2 linked regions of the Stegostoma tigrinum genome follow. The protein of the gene in region 1 binds, or shares a complex with, the protein of each later gene. Links are inferred from orthologs where the notes say so. Each region holds a gene or a part of one and is shown in the gene's direction. Other genes may lie near its edges.

Region 1 (7,093 bases):
ATACTAGTTTTCTGCAATTCATGCATGAAGACACCCAGATCCCTCTTTTCTGAAACACTCTGAAGTTTCTCTCCATTTAGATTTCTCCACCTCTGACCAAAATGGATAACCTTACAGTTATCCACGTTAAACCTCATTGGCCAAATTTTGACCCATTTACCTATCCAATTCATACCCATGTGTAAGTTTTTTATTTCTTTATTGCAACATATTTTTCCACCCATTATCGTGTCAACAGCAAATCTGGCTATAGTAGTTTCTATTTAAACATATATAATGCACTTTAGACAGCCATAGAAAATCTTGAAGCGGGTCTTTAGCTTCTTGAATATTGCTACTGTGGTAACATCAGAAAACAAAGCAGTCAACTTGCTCTCATTGGGATCTTAACCAACAGCAACGAGCTCAAGGGCCAGATGATGTGTTTCTGTGATGTCAGCTGAAGGTTAAATTAAAGCTGCACTTCTTCAAATATTGTCCAATCTGCCTGAGCAGGCCTCTGGATTAACATTTATCTGAAGAGATGAACTTTAGTCAGTGTGAGCCTTTTCATGCAATGGATTATCAGCCATGTTTATAACGCTCAACAGTATGGGGGCAGCTGGTGCATCCCCCACCTCCAAATGGCCTGCAAATATCCAGGGCAATCCACTCACAGGAGCATCCAATTGGAGACAGGTTCCGCTGTAGCAGTTGGAATCATTCACTCCAAGATGCCAACATCAAATGCGACAGAGAAGCAGCCCGTAAATGAGGGTGCAAGGAATAGGTAAGAGGCAATGAGGAGCAAGGCTAGAGCAAGTGAGACCAAAACAAGAGGGCTAAGAGCAGACAATGCAGGACCTCTGAAGTTTGAGGGAGAGGGAATTAAGACTAACAAAGTCCAGGGAGCAAGGCCAGGTTGGGGGGAATGGTTACCATAGTGCAAATTGAGTTTAAAAAGGGTGTGAGGGGACAAGGATGGGAAGCAAAGAGAGGGGGGAGGAGCTGCAAATGGGGAGAAAGGGGCAACAAGGGGTAAGGGTGGCACAGTGGCCCAGTGGTTAGCATTCCTGCCGCAAAGCGCCAAGCACCAGGTTCAATTCCACACTCGGGCGACTGTCTGTGTGGAGTTTGTACATTCTCCCTGTGTCTGCGTGGGTTTCCTCCTGGTGCTCCGGTTTCTTCCCACAGTCCAATGATGTGCAGATTAGGGTGGATTACCCATGGGAAATACAGGGTTACGGGGCTAGGGTGGGTGTGGGTTTGTGTGTGTGGGTGTTGGGGTTGGTCTGTGTGGGATGCTCATTGGAGAGTCAGTGTGCACTAGATGGGCCTAATGGCCTAGCAGTGTAGGAAGGTGGCCAATGACCTGCTGCATTGCACAAGGAGTATCTGAACTTCCTCACATTCACTTGAATATTCCATGCATATTTGGTGTATGTTTGTGTTGATTTTGGGAGTGCACTGATTTGGTCAATTTTACATGGATTTCTAGATTTCGTTTGTTTTGGTGATCTTTGCACTGATTTGGTGATTTTCAGCCTGGGAATTTTGGGAATTCTACACAATCTTTTCAAACCAAGCTTTCTATTGATTTGAGGAAATTTCAGACGTGTTTGCTGACTTTCACACTGGTTTGGTGAATTTCACACTGGTTAAGTGAAGTTAACACCTACTTTTGCAATTTTACACTAAGCTTGTGAATTTCACACTGATTCACTTTGATTTGCCTCTTTTCAAACTGTTCTGATGAAGTTGTAGACAGGATAAATTGATACATGTTGATTTGGTGATTTGCATCATATCAGTTTAGAGGTTGATTGAGGTATTTGAAGAATGAAATTGTGGTTTTCACACCAGTGTAGAGGCTGATTTGGTGATTTCTATACTGAATTAGTGATGTTTATGCTGGTTTTCATGGTGATTTGGTAATATTCACACTGAGTTGCTGACTTTCACACTGGTTTAGAGGCTGATTTAGTGATTTCCACACAGGTTTGGCAGTGCTCACACTGGTTTGCACAGTGATTTAGTGATGGTAACACTCACTTGGTGATCTTCACACCAGTGTAGAGGCTGATTTGCTGATTCCCTCACTGATTTGGTGATGTTTACACTGGACCAATCAGTGATTTAGTGATTTTAACACTGGTTTGATGCCTTTTGCACTGGCTCAGAGGATGCTTTGGTGATTTCAATGCTGATTTAGCAATGTCCTTATTAGTATGTCCACAGCTAGGCGATTTTCCCCCTCAGTGACTGTCACCCTCGTCTAGAGGTGGATTTGGTAATTTCTACACTCATTTGGTGACATTCACACTAGTTGAGAGGCTGATTTGTTGATTTGCCCCATGTCAGTGACTTTTGTACCAGTCCAGGGACTAATTTGATGTATTGTCCCTGTTTCAGTGACATTCTCTCTGATTCAGAGGGGATTTAGTGGTTTTCACACTGACTTAGTGACTTTTACACCAGTTGAGACAGTGATATGGTGATTTCCACTGTGGTGACTTTCACCCTGGTTCAGAGGCTGATTTAGTGATATTCACACTGATTTGGTGAGTTCAGCTCAGTGTAGAGGCTGATTTAGTGATGTTCACACTGATTTGGTGAGTTCAGCTCGGTGTAGAGGCTGATTTAGTGATGTTCACACTGATTTGGTGAGTTCAGCCCGGTGTACAGGCTGATTTAGTGATGTTCACACTGATTTGGTGACTTTCACCCTGGTTCAGAGGCTGATTTAGTGATATTCACACTGATTTGGTGAGTTCAGCTCGGTGTAGAGGCTGATTTAGTGATGTTCACACTGATTTGGTGAGTTCAGCCCGGTGTACAGGCTGATTTAGTGATGTTCACACTGATTTGGTGAGTTCAGCTCGGTGTAGAGGCTGATTTAGTGATGTTCACACTGATTTGGTGAGTTCAGCTCGGTGTAGAGGCTGATTTAGTGATGTTCACACTGATTTGGTGAGCTCAGCCCGGTGTAGAGGCTGATTTAGTGATGTTCACATTGATTTGGTGAGTTCAGCCCGGTGTAGAGGCTGATTTAGTGATGTTCACACTGATTTGGTGAGTTCAGCCCGGTGTACAGGCTGATTTAGTGATGTTCACACTGATTTGGTGAGTTCAGCTCGGTGTAGAGGCTGATTTAGTGATGTTCACACTGATTTGGTGAGTTCAGCCCGGTGTAGAGGCTGATTTAGTGATGTTCACACTGATTTGGTGAGTTCAGCCCGGTGTAGAGGCTGATTTAGTGATGTTCACACTGATTTGGTGAGTTCAGCTCGGTGTAGAGGCTGATTTAGTGATGTTCACACTGATTTGGTGAGTTCAGCTCGGTGTAGAGGCTGATTTAGTTACGTTCACACTGATTTGGTGAGTTCAGCTCGGTGTAGAGGCTGATTTAGTGATGTTCACACTGATTTGGTGAGTTCAGCTCGGTGTAGAGGCTGATTTAGTGATGTTCACACTGATTTGGTGAGTTCAGCTCGGTGTAGAGGCTGATTTAGTGATGTTCACACTGATTTGGTGAGCTCAGCCCGGTGTAGAGGCTGATTTAGTGATGTTCACACTGATTTGGTGAGTTCAGCCCGGTGTAGAGGCTGATTTAGTGATGTTCACACTGATTTGGTGAGTTCAGCCCGGTGTACAGGCTGATTTAGTGATGTTCACACTGATTTGGTGAGTTCAGCTCGGTGTAGAGGCTGATTTAGTGATGTTCACACTGATTTGGTGAGTTCAGCCCGGTGTACAGGCTGATTTAGTGATGTTCACACTGATTTGGTGAGTTCAGCTCGGTGTAGAGGCTGATTTAGTGATGTTCACACTGATTTGGTGAGTTCAGCTCGGTGTAGAGGCTGATTTAGTGATGTTCACACTGATTTGGTGAGTTCAGCCCGGTGTAGAGGATGGTGTAGTGATTTACCCACTTGTTTCGGTAATTCTCACTGAGTGACAGTGGCAGGGGCCGAGCGTGCGCGCACTCTGCAGCCCTCCGTCCGCCCAGCCTCCGCCTTCCAGCGCTACGTGGCCGGAGACAGAGAGCGAGGCGGCGCTGCGGCTGCCGGGCTCCAGGCGCCGTTCCGACTTCTTCCCGGGGACACTGCTGAATCTGCTCTGCATTCCCTGTAAGTACAGTTTGCACTGAGAAGGCTGAATGGCCGCGAGTACTCACTGGCCGGGGGGGTGTGGGGGCGCAGCTCGTCCATTCACACAGAGGGAAATTCTGCATTCCAGTAGCGCCGTCCCCCTGTAGCGCGGAACGAAGGCATTTTGCTTTGGAAGTGCCTCGCTGTCCCAGTGTGGAGAACGTGGCACCTGGGTTGTGCACAGCAAGCTCCCACAAAGTGGGGGAATCTGGTTGGGGATGTAGAAGTACTTGGTGGGGCTGGTTTGAAGCCAGACAGACCCTGAGTGGGACTGGAATCCCATAGTCTTGTGAATGGCCTCAGCCGACACCTCCAGGGTCCGGGGCGGCGAGATCCTTTGGGGTTTGCTTTCAGTCAAGCATCTCTTCCCCCGCCCCCCCCTCTCTTCCCCCGCCCCCCCCTCTCTTCCCCCGCCCCCCCTCTCTTCCCCCGCCCCCCCCTCTCTTCCCCCGCCCCCCCTCTCCTCCCCCCTCTCCCCCCTCTCCTTCCCCCGCCCCCCCCTCTCCTTCCCCCGCCCCCCCCTCTCCTTCCCCCGCCCCCCCGCCCCCCCTCTCCTCCCCCCGCCCCCCCTCTCCTCCCCCCGCCCCCCTCTCCTCCCCCCGCCCCCCTCTCCTCCCCCCGCCCCCCTCTCCTCCCCCGCGCCCCCTCCCCTTCCCCCCCTCCCCCCTTCCCTTCCCCCCCTCCCCCCTTCCCCCCTCCCCTTCCCCCCCTTCCCCCCTCCCCTTCCCCCCCTCCCCCTCCCCCCCCTCCCCCCCTCCCCCCCCTCTCCCCCCTCCCCCCCCCTCCCCCCCCTCCCCCCCCTCCCCCCCCTCCCCCCCTCCCCTTCCCCCCTCCCCTTTCCCCCTCCCCTTCCCCCCCTCCCCTTCCCCCCCTCCCCTTTCCCCCTCCCCTTCCCCCCCTCCCCCCTTCCCTTCCCCCCCTCCCCCCTTCCCTTCCCCCCCTCCCCCCTTCCCTTCCCCCCCTCCCCCCTTCCCTTCCCCCCTCCCCCCCTTCCCTTCCCCCCTCCCCCCCTTCCCTTCCCCCCTCCCCCCCTTCCCTTCCCCCCTCCCCCCCTTCCCTTCCCCCCTCCCCCCCTTCCCTTCCCCCCTCCCCCTCTTCCCTTCCCCCCCTCCCCTCTTCCCTTCCCCCCCTCCCCTCCCCTCTTCCCTTCCCCCCTCCCCTCTTCCCTTCCCCCCCTCCCCTCCCCTCCCCTCTTCCCTTCCCCCCTCCCCTCTTCCCTTCCCCCCTCCCCTCTTCCCTTCCCCCCCTCCCCTCCCCTCCCCCCTTCCCCTCCCCTCCCCCCTTCCCCTCCCCCCTTCCCCTCCCCCCTTCCCCTCCCCCCTTCCCTTCCCCCTTCCCCTCCCCCTTCCCTTCCCCCCTCCCCCCTTCCCTTCCCCCCCTCCCCTCCTTCCCTTCCCCCCCTCCCCTCCCCCCCTTCCCTTCCCCCCCTCCCCCCCTTCCCTTCCCCCCCTCCCCCCCTTCCCTTCCCCCCCTCCCCCCTTCCCTTCCCCCCCTCCCCTCCCCCCTTCCCTTCCCCCCCTCCCCTCCCCCCTTCCCTTCCCCCCTCCCCTCCCCCCTTCCCTTCCCCCCTCCCCTCCCCCCTTCCCTTCCCCCCCCCCTCCCCTCTTCCCCTCCCCCCTTCCCCTCCCCCCTTCCCCTCCCCCCTTCCCCTCCCCCCTTCCCCTCCCCCCTTCCCTTCCCCCTTCCCTTCCCCCCTTCCCTTCCCCCCTCCCCCCTTCCCTTCCCCCCTTCCCTTCCCCCCTCCCCCCTTCCCTTCCCCCCTCCCCCCTTCCCTTCCCCCCTTCCCCCCTCCCCCCTTCCCTTCCCTTCCCCCCCTCCCCCCCTTCCCTTCCCCCCCTTCCCTTCCCCCCTTCCCCTCCCCCCCTCCCCTCCCCCCTTCCCCTCCCCCCCTCCCCTCCCCCCTCCCCTCCCCCCCTCCCCCTCCCCCCCCTCCCCCCCTCCCCCCCCTCCCCCCCCTCCCCTCCCCCCTTCCCCCCCCTCCCCCCCTCCCCTCCCTCCTCCCCCCCTCCCCCCCCCCTCCCCTCCCTCCTCCCCCCCTCCCCTCCCCTCCCCTCCCCCCTCTCCCCCTCCCCTCCCCCCCTCCCCCTCCTCCCCCCCCTCCCCCCCTCCCCTCCCCTCCCCTCCCCCCTCCCCTCCCCCCTCCCCCCTCCCCTCCCCCCTCCCCTCCCCCCTTCCTTTCCCCCCCTCCCCCCCTTCCTTTCCCCCCCTCCCCCCCTTCCTTTCCCCCCTCCCCCCCTTCCTTTCCCCCCCTTCCCTCCCCTTCCCTCCCCCCCTCCCCCCCTCCCCCCCTCCCCCCCCTCCCCCCTCCCCCCCTTCCCTCCTCCCCCCCCTTCCCTCCCCCCCCCCCTTCCCTCCCCCCCTTCCCTCCCCCCCTCCCCCCCTTCCCTCCCCTTCCCTCCCCCCCTCCCCCCCCTTCCCTCCCCCCCCTCCCTCCCCCCCCTCCCTCCCTCCCTCCCCCCCCTCCCTCCCTCCCTCCCCCCCTCCCCCCTTCCCTCCCCCCTCCCTCCCCCCCTCCCCCCTTCCCTCCCCCCTCCCTCCCCCCCTCCCCCCTCCCTCCCCCCCTCCCCCCCTCCCCCCCCTCCCCCCCTCCCTTCCCTCCCTCCCCCCCTCCCTTCCCCCCTCCCTTCCCTCCCTCCCCCCCTCCCCCTTCCCTCCCCCCCTCCCCCCCTTCCCTCCCCCCCTTCCCTCCCCCCCCTTCCCTCCCCCCTTCCCTCCCCCCTCCCTCCCCCCCTTCCCCCCCTCCCTCCCCCCCTTCCCCCCCTTCCCCCCCTCCCTCCCCCCCTTCCCCCCCTTCCCCCCCTCCCTCCCCCCCTTCCCCCCCTCCCTCCCCCCCTCCCTCCCCCCCTTCCCCCCCTCCCCCTTCCCCTTCCCCCCCTCCCCCTTCCCTCCCCCCTTCCCCCTCTTCCCCCCCCTCCCCCTTCCCTCCCCCCCCTTCCCCCCCACCCTCCCTTCCCTTCCCCCCC
Region 2 (7,249 bases), on another chromosome or scaffold:
AATCTTGACTTGCCCTCCCTATTGGCATTAAGGGTCTACCTACAGCAAATGGACTATAGCAATCAAGAAGACAGTTCACCATCACTTTCCCAACTAGGGATGGGCAATAAGTCCTGGCACTGCCAACAATGTTCAAATTGCATAAATGAATAAAAAAAATTTCCTGAAAAAAGAAACCGGGCAAACACAAGAAAGTCAAATTTCAAACCATCTCAAATTTCACATTTTTACATTTATTCAGATGAATGCAAGAGGAAAAGATTTGACAACATGAGAAAATGGTGAAAGATCATTTGCATAGTTGGTAAATTGTTGACAGAGATATTATGTTCAATTTTAACCAGCACAAAAACTCAGCTGCACAGTTAACACTGTGAGAAGAATGTCAAGGAACGTAACATTATATGAAGGGCGCAGTCTCCATTATAATGTAGGAGAATGACAACACTTCACCAGTATTTTGTTCACAACCGATGTTAGGGATTTCCTGAGGCCTATAATGGGTAAGTTAACAGCAGAAGGGTTTTCAAATGCCGTACCTGTGCTAATAAACTGAATGCTGGTTTATAACTGGTAGATGGTGATGCAATGGTATGTCACCATGCTAGTAGTACTAGAGTCTCAGGCTCATGTTGTGGGGACATATCCTCATGGTTCACTCAAACCATCCAAAATTCCATAGCTAATCCTTTTAGAACTCACTGTACTCCACACTTAAATTTAAAGTAAGCAGAAGAGTGCATGACCATATTTCTGGGAATGATGAGAGTTCTGACATAGGGGAGGCCTTATAATCGCAGCCAAAAGGACTGGTAAATATACTGCTCATACTCTGCTGCCTATGAGCAGTGATTCAAATGCAAATGCTCTGAATCAAACAGTGTATCATTTTTCAGAGTGCTGATTAGGACGTAAAAGAAAGATAATGTGATCACTGACTTAAATCACAGTGGTGTGACAACAGCTTGCATTTAAGTAATATTTTTATTAGTCACTTGGTACTTCAGAACTTGAATATTGCTGAAAAGAGAGAGATGTTGTCCAGGTTTTTCATTTTACACACATTAGGATAGATACAAGACTGACAAATTTCAAGTAATCACGGCACACTAGCTTGGAGAGCCGTTAGTCCTGCATTGCTTTCTTTACAGCAATGCATTAGTGAAATGGAGTAAATTAGCTGACCAATCAGAGCCTTTTCTCCATGATATAAATCATTATAACGGTTTGAAACCTGGCATTCTTGCATTTGACCTGATGAGTACAAAGCGAACAGTTTCACCAACATGTTCAGCAACATTGAAAGGTTTTAAATACTCAGTCTTTGATAATATTCAAGACTGAGACCATTAAGATTTTTGAGTACTCAGGAAATTCGGGGATTTGGGTTGAGAGCAGAAGGTAAATTGAGGGAAAAGATCAGGCATATCTTATTGGATGGACGAAAAGGCTTGAAGAGTCAAACAGCCTTCCTCTGCTTCCATTTCTCACTGTTTTGGAAAAGTGTAACTTTTGCCCTGAGAGGTATAGAAGAGAATATATTAAGTATTGTGGGTCTACCTATAGCGAAGGGACTGCAGCAGTTCAAGAAGATTATTCATCACCACTTTCCTATGGGCAACTAGGGATGGGCAATAAATGCTAGTGCAGCCAGCACATCCAGATTCCATTACTGAATAATAAAATGAAAGTTGCTGAGAAGAAGCACATACTGCCAAAGGTATTCCTCTTGAATTTATCAGGATGAACAGAAAAATGCCAAATTTCAAACAATCTCAAACTTCACATTTTGCATGAAAAGATTCAACAACATGAGAAAATGGTGAAAGATCATTCTAATAGTTGGCAAATTGTTGACAGGGGGATATTAGGCTCAATTTTAACCCAAGTCTTTTTATAGGAATTGAACACAGAGCTATGTAAAGAGACATTAGTGCAGACGGTCAAAAGTTAGGTCAGAGAAGCAGATTATAACGACCATCTCAAAGAAGGAGGGAAAGGCAGAGATGTGGAAATGTTCAAAGAGGGAATGTTAGAGTTACAACATGTCATAAATGGGAAAAACCAGTGAAGACTTAACTGATATATTTTCAAGGTAACAGAAGTGTGGAAGTGGGTGAACATAGCAGGCCAAGCAGCATCTTAGGAGCACAAAAGCTGACGTTTCGGGCCTAGACCCTTCATCAGAAAAGGCCTTTTCTGATGAGGGGTCTAGGCCCGAAACGTCAGCTTTTGTGCTCCTTAGATGCCGCTAGGCCTGCTGTGTTCATCCAGCTCTACACTTTGCTATCTCAGATTCTCCAGCAACTGCAGTTTCCATTATCTCCGTTATATTTTCAAGTCAGGATTGTATGGGGCTTGAAAGTAAATTTCCAGGAAGTGGTGTTCTCATGTATCTGGTGTCCTTGTCCTTCTTGATCACAGAGATTGAGGTATTTAGAAAATGCTGTCTAAGAAGCCTTGCTGAGTTGTCACAGTACATCTTTTAGATAGAATAGATTGGTGTCTGTTGAATCAGTGGTTGACTCTTAAGTTCTGTTAAGTTAAAAGGCAAAAGCAAGAAGGAGAGGCAGACCCAGTCTAACTTCTGTGGAGTATTCATCATCAGGATTTGTCATTGACAAAGACATCAAAGGAGAAATGGGGAAACAGGCTCGACGGGCTAAATGGCCTCCTCCTGCTCCTATTTTCCATATTGCTCTGTGGTCCTACCGAGATTCTCCTTCAAGGGGTAATGCTTTGCACCCACTCGAACAATAAAATCTTAGAAACCCTATAGTGCAGAAAAAGGCCATTCAGCCTAGTGAGCCATTTGGATCAAGGTCAATTGCAGAAGGATTCTTTCGATACTGCAGCACTCCCTCAAACAGGGCAGCACTCCTTCAGTAACGCTCCTCAGGATTCATTAAAAATGTGCTGCCATTAGTGTGGCAGACAAAATTTCCTATGAATGGATGTTCTTTTACAAGTGTCAACAAGTAGTTCAAGCTAGTGTATTGCATCTAATTCTGCAGACAATCCTCTAATAAGGATGTCAAAGTGTAATTTTGGGACAAAAATAGAAATTGCTGGAAAAGCTCAGCAGGTTCAGCAGCATCTGTGGAGCGAAATCAGAGTTAATCATTTGGATTGAGTGACCCTTCCTCAGAATTTAGAGATAACGTTTCGGGTAAAGTGGCCCTTCCTCAGAATTAGAGTTGAGTAATAAATGCTGACCATTTCAGTAATTTCCAAAAACCACAAATTAATAAAAAGGATCATGACAATGTGGTGCTGATTTATTGTGATGGCAACAGGGATGAGGGACTTTGGTTACGTGGAACGATGACAGCAGCTCTACTCCTGTACTTAGAAGAATGTATAGCAACTTTATTGAAACATACATGATTCTAAGGAGACTTAAAGCAATGGCGCAGTTGCTCAGTAGTTGGCACTGCTGTCTCCAGTACCAGAGACTCAGGTTTTGAGCAACTGTCTATGTGGAGTTTGTACGTTCTTACTGTGTCTGCATGGGTTTCTGTAGCATGCTTCAGTTTCCTCCCACAGTCCAAAAATGTGCAAGTTAGGTGGATTGACCATGCTAAGTTGTCTGTAGTGCCCAGGGATGTGCAGGCAAGGTGGGTTAGCTATTGTAAATTAAGGATTATAGGGGAGGGGCCAGGTTTGGGTGAGATGCTTTTCGGAGGGTTGGTGCAGACTTGATGGGCTGAATGGCCTTTTTCTGCACTGTAGGGTTTCTAAGATTTTATTGTTCGAGTGGGTGCAAAGCATTACCCCTTGAAGGAGAATCTCGGTAGGACCATAGAACAATATGGAAAATAGGAGCGGGGGAGGCCATTCAGCCCTTCGAGCCTGTTTCCCCATTTCTCCTTTGATGTCTTTGTCAATGACAAATCCTGATGATGAATACTCCACAAAAGTTAGACTGGGTCTGCCTCTCCTTCTTGCTTTCGCTTTTTAACTTTACTGCTCATTGATACACTCCCTCGGCACTCCAACTCACTGCCACAGTCACCGCCTCAACAAGGGACCCCGCCCTCGCCACGAGACAGACAGCCGGCGGGACCAATCGCAAGGATGAGTAGCGGACAGTAGGCGGGGCCAGGTGGGGGCCAATCGATGGTGGCTAAGGGGCGGGGTTTGCCGGACGTCACGTGACGGGCGGGTGGTAGGCTGGCGGCCGAAGGAGTGAGAGACTGTATTGTGTGAGGTGGGGCGGCTGGCCGAGTAACCGACCGATTGGTGTCCACTCCCCTCACGCCCGTTCCGCGGGGCGGAGAGAAGGTGACTTCCATCGCGTGGTGCCGCCGCCCCTCCTCCTCCACCACCTCCTGAAAGAGGGTCTCTGCCTGTGGCAGGTAGGTGGGCGCGGAGATCCTTGCGGCCCTGCTCCCTCCCGCTTGACGGGTTTCAGGAGGAGGCCGGAGGGTCAGGGAATAGGGCCGGCAGCTGGCATGGCGGCGGGAACCGTTAAATCAGGCGCGCGCTTCTGCCCCCGGGGCATCGGGCACTACCAGCAGAGCAACCCCTTAGCTCCCGTTCATCCCCACCCCGCCCCCGGGTCGGAATACCCTCACCATGTCCAATATAGACCCGTCACCTTTCTTCCCAGCCCCGCCGTGTGGTCCGAATCCACACCCCCAGCCCCCGTCCGACATAGACCCGTCACATTCTCTTCTCTTTTCCCCCTCCCCGCTGTCCGAATGCTCCACCATTTCCGATATTCTCCAACCTCGCCCCGACGCTTTCCCCTCCTCCGCACCCCCCCCCCCGCCTGCCTGACATTCCCCCCGCCCCGTTCCCCTCCCCCTCGTCCTGTCTGCCACTTCACGCCCCCGTCCTGTCTGACTGCCCTCTCACACCACCACCCCCCCCCCCCGTCCCGTCCCGTCCCATCCCATCCCGTCCCGTCCGCCTTCTCTTCCCCGCTCCTCCCCTCCCTCACCAACCCCCGGCCCCCTCCACTCTAATCCTCCCGACACTCCACGCCTCTCCCCACCCCCCCCCCACCCCGACCCCCTCCTCCTCCCCCCCACCCCGACCCCTTCCTCCCCCCCACCCCGACCCCTTCCTCCCGACCCCTTCCTCCCGACCCCTTCCTCCCGACCCCTTCCTCCTCCCCCCCCCCCACCCCGACCCCTTCCTCCTCCCCCCCCCCACCCCGACCCCTTCCTCCTCCCCCCCCCACCCCGACCCCTTCCTCCTCCCCCCCCCACCCCGACCCCTTCCTCCTCCGACCCCCCCGCCGCTTTCCCCCCGCAACCCCATCCTCTCCCCCCGACCCCATCCTCTCCCCCCGACCCCATCCTCTCCCCCCGACCCCATCCTCTCCCCCCGACCCCGACCCCATCCTCTCCCCCCCCGACGCCATCCTCTTCTCTCCCCCCCCCGACCCCCTCCTCTCCCCCCCCCCGACCCCCTCCTCTCCCCCCCCCCGACCCCCTCCTCTCCCCCCCCCGACCCCCTCCTCTCCCCCCCCCCGACCCCCTCCTCTCCCCCCCCCCGACCCCCTCCTCTCCCCCCCCCGACCCCCTCCTCTCCCCCCCCCCGACCCCCTCCTCTCCCCCCCCCCGACCCCCTCCTCTCCCCCCCCCGACCCCCTCCTCTCCCCCCCCCCGACCCCCTCCTCTCCCCCCCCCGACCCCCTCCTCTCCCCCCCCCGACCCCCTCCTCTCCCCCCCCCGACCCCCTCCTCTCCCCCTCCTCTCCCCCTCCTCTCCCCCTCCTCTCCCCCCCCGACCCCCTCCTCTCCCCCCTCCTCTCCCCCTCCTCTCCCCCCCCGACCCCCTCCTCTCCCCCCCCGACCCCCTCCTCTCCCCCCCCGACCCCCTCCTCTCCCCCCCCGACCCCCTCCTCTCCCCCCCCGACCCCCTCCTCCCCCCCCCACCCCGACGCCATCCTCTCCCCCCCTGCCATCCTGTCCCCCCCGACCCCCTCCTCTCCCGAACCCCTCCTCTCCCCCCCCCGACCCCCTCCTCCCCCCCCCCACCCCGACGCCATCCTCTCCCCCCCTGCCATCCTGTCCCCCCCCCCTCCTCTCCCCCCCCGACCCCCTCCTCTCCCCCCCCGACCCCCTCCTCTCCCCCCCCGACCCCCTCCTCTCCCCCCCCCCCACTCCGACGCCATCCTCTCCCCCCCCCGCCATCCTGTCCCCCCCGACCCCCTCCTCTCCCGAACCCCTCCTCTCCCCCCCCCCACCCCGACGCCATCCTCTCCCCCCCTGCCATCCTCTCCCCCCCTCCTCCTCTCCCCCCCCGACGCCATCCTCCCCCCCCCCCCCCCCCGGCGCCATCCTCTTCCCCCCCCCGGCGCCATCCTCTTTCCCCCCCCCGGCGCCATCCTCTTTCCCCCCCCCGGCGCCATCCTCTTTCCCCCCCCCGGCGCCATCCTCTTCCCCCCCCCCGGCGCCATCCTCTTCCCCCCCCCCGGCGCCATCCTCTTCCCCCCCCCCGGCGCCATCCTCTTCCCCCCCCCCCGGCGCCATCCTCTCCCCCCCCCCGGCGCCATCCTCTCCCCCCTCTCCTCCCCCCCCCCCTCCTCCCCCCCCCCCTCCTCTCCCCCCCCCCTCCTCTCTCCCCCCCCCTCCTCTCTCCCCCCCCCTCCTCTCTCCCCCCCCCTCCTCTCTCCCCCCCCTCCTCTCTCCCCCCCCTCCTCTCTCCCCCCCCTCCTCTCTCCCCCCCCTCCTCTCTCCCCCCCCCTCCTCTCTCCCCCCCCCTCCTCTCTCCCCCCCCCTCCTCTCTCCCCCCCCTCCTCTCTCCCCCCCCTCCTCTCTCCCCCCCCTCCTCTCTCCCCCCCCTCCTCTCTCCCCCCCCTCCTCTCTCCCCCCCCTCCTCTCTCCCCCCCCTCCTCTCTCCCCCCCCTCCTCTCTCCCCCCCCCTCCTCTCTCCCCCCCCTCCTCTCTCCCCCCCCTCCTCTCTCCCCCCCCTCCTCTCTCCCCCCCCCTCCTCCCTCTCCCCCCCCCTCCTCCCTCTTCCCCCCCCCTCCTCCCTCTTCCCCCCCCTCCTCCCTCTTCCCCCCCCCTCCTCCCTCTTCCCCCCCCCTCCTCCCTCTTCCCCCCCCCACCCCCTCTTCCCCCCCCGACCCCCTCTTCCCCCCCCGACCCCCTCTTCCCCCCCCGACCCCCTCTTCCCCCCCCGACCCCCTCTTCCCCCCCCGACCCCCTCTTCCCCCCCCGACCCCCTCTTCCCCCCCCGACCCCCTCTTCCCCCCCCGACCCCCTCTTCCCCCCCCGACCCCCTCTTCCCCCCCC

The links.
Region 2: phldb2b (region 1) and ppfibp1b share a complex: the UniProt entries of both Homo sapiens proteins name them as parts of the cortical microtubule stabilization complex. The link is inferred for Stegostoma tigrinum from reciprocal best matches to the Homo sapiens genes PHLDB2 and PPFIBP1.

Annotation. Positions count from the first base shown.
Region 1 is NC_081365.1:78,126,496-78,133,588, reverse strand, and holds the start of phldb2b (pleckstrin homology-like domain family B member 1), read left to right. Parts: upstream 1-4,013; 5' UTR 4,014-4,109; intron 4,110-7,093. UniProt on the Homo sapiens protein: Seems to be involved in the assembly of the postsynaptic apparatus. May play a role in acetyl-choline receptor (AChR) aggregation in the postsynaptic membrane.
Region 2 is NC_081371.1:46,973,336-46,980,584, forward strand, and holds the start of ppfibp1b (liprin-beta-1b), read left to right. Parts: upstream 1-4,159; 5' UTR 4,160-4,358; intron 4,359-7,249. UniProt on the Homo sapiens protein: May regulate the disassembly of focal adhesions. Did not bind receptor-like tyrosine phosphatases type 2A.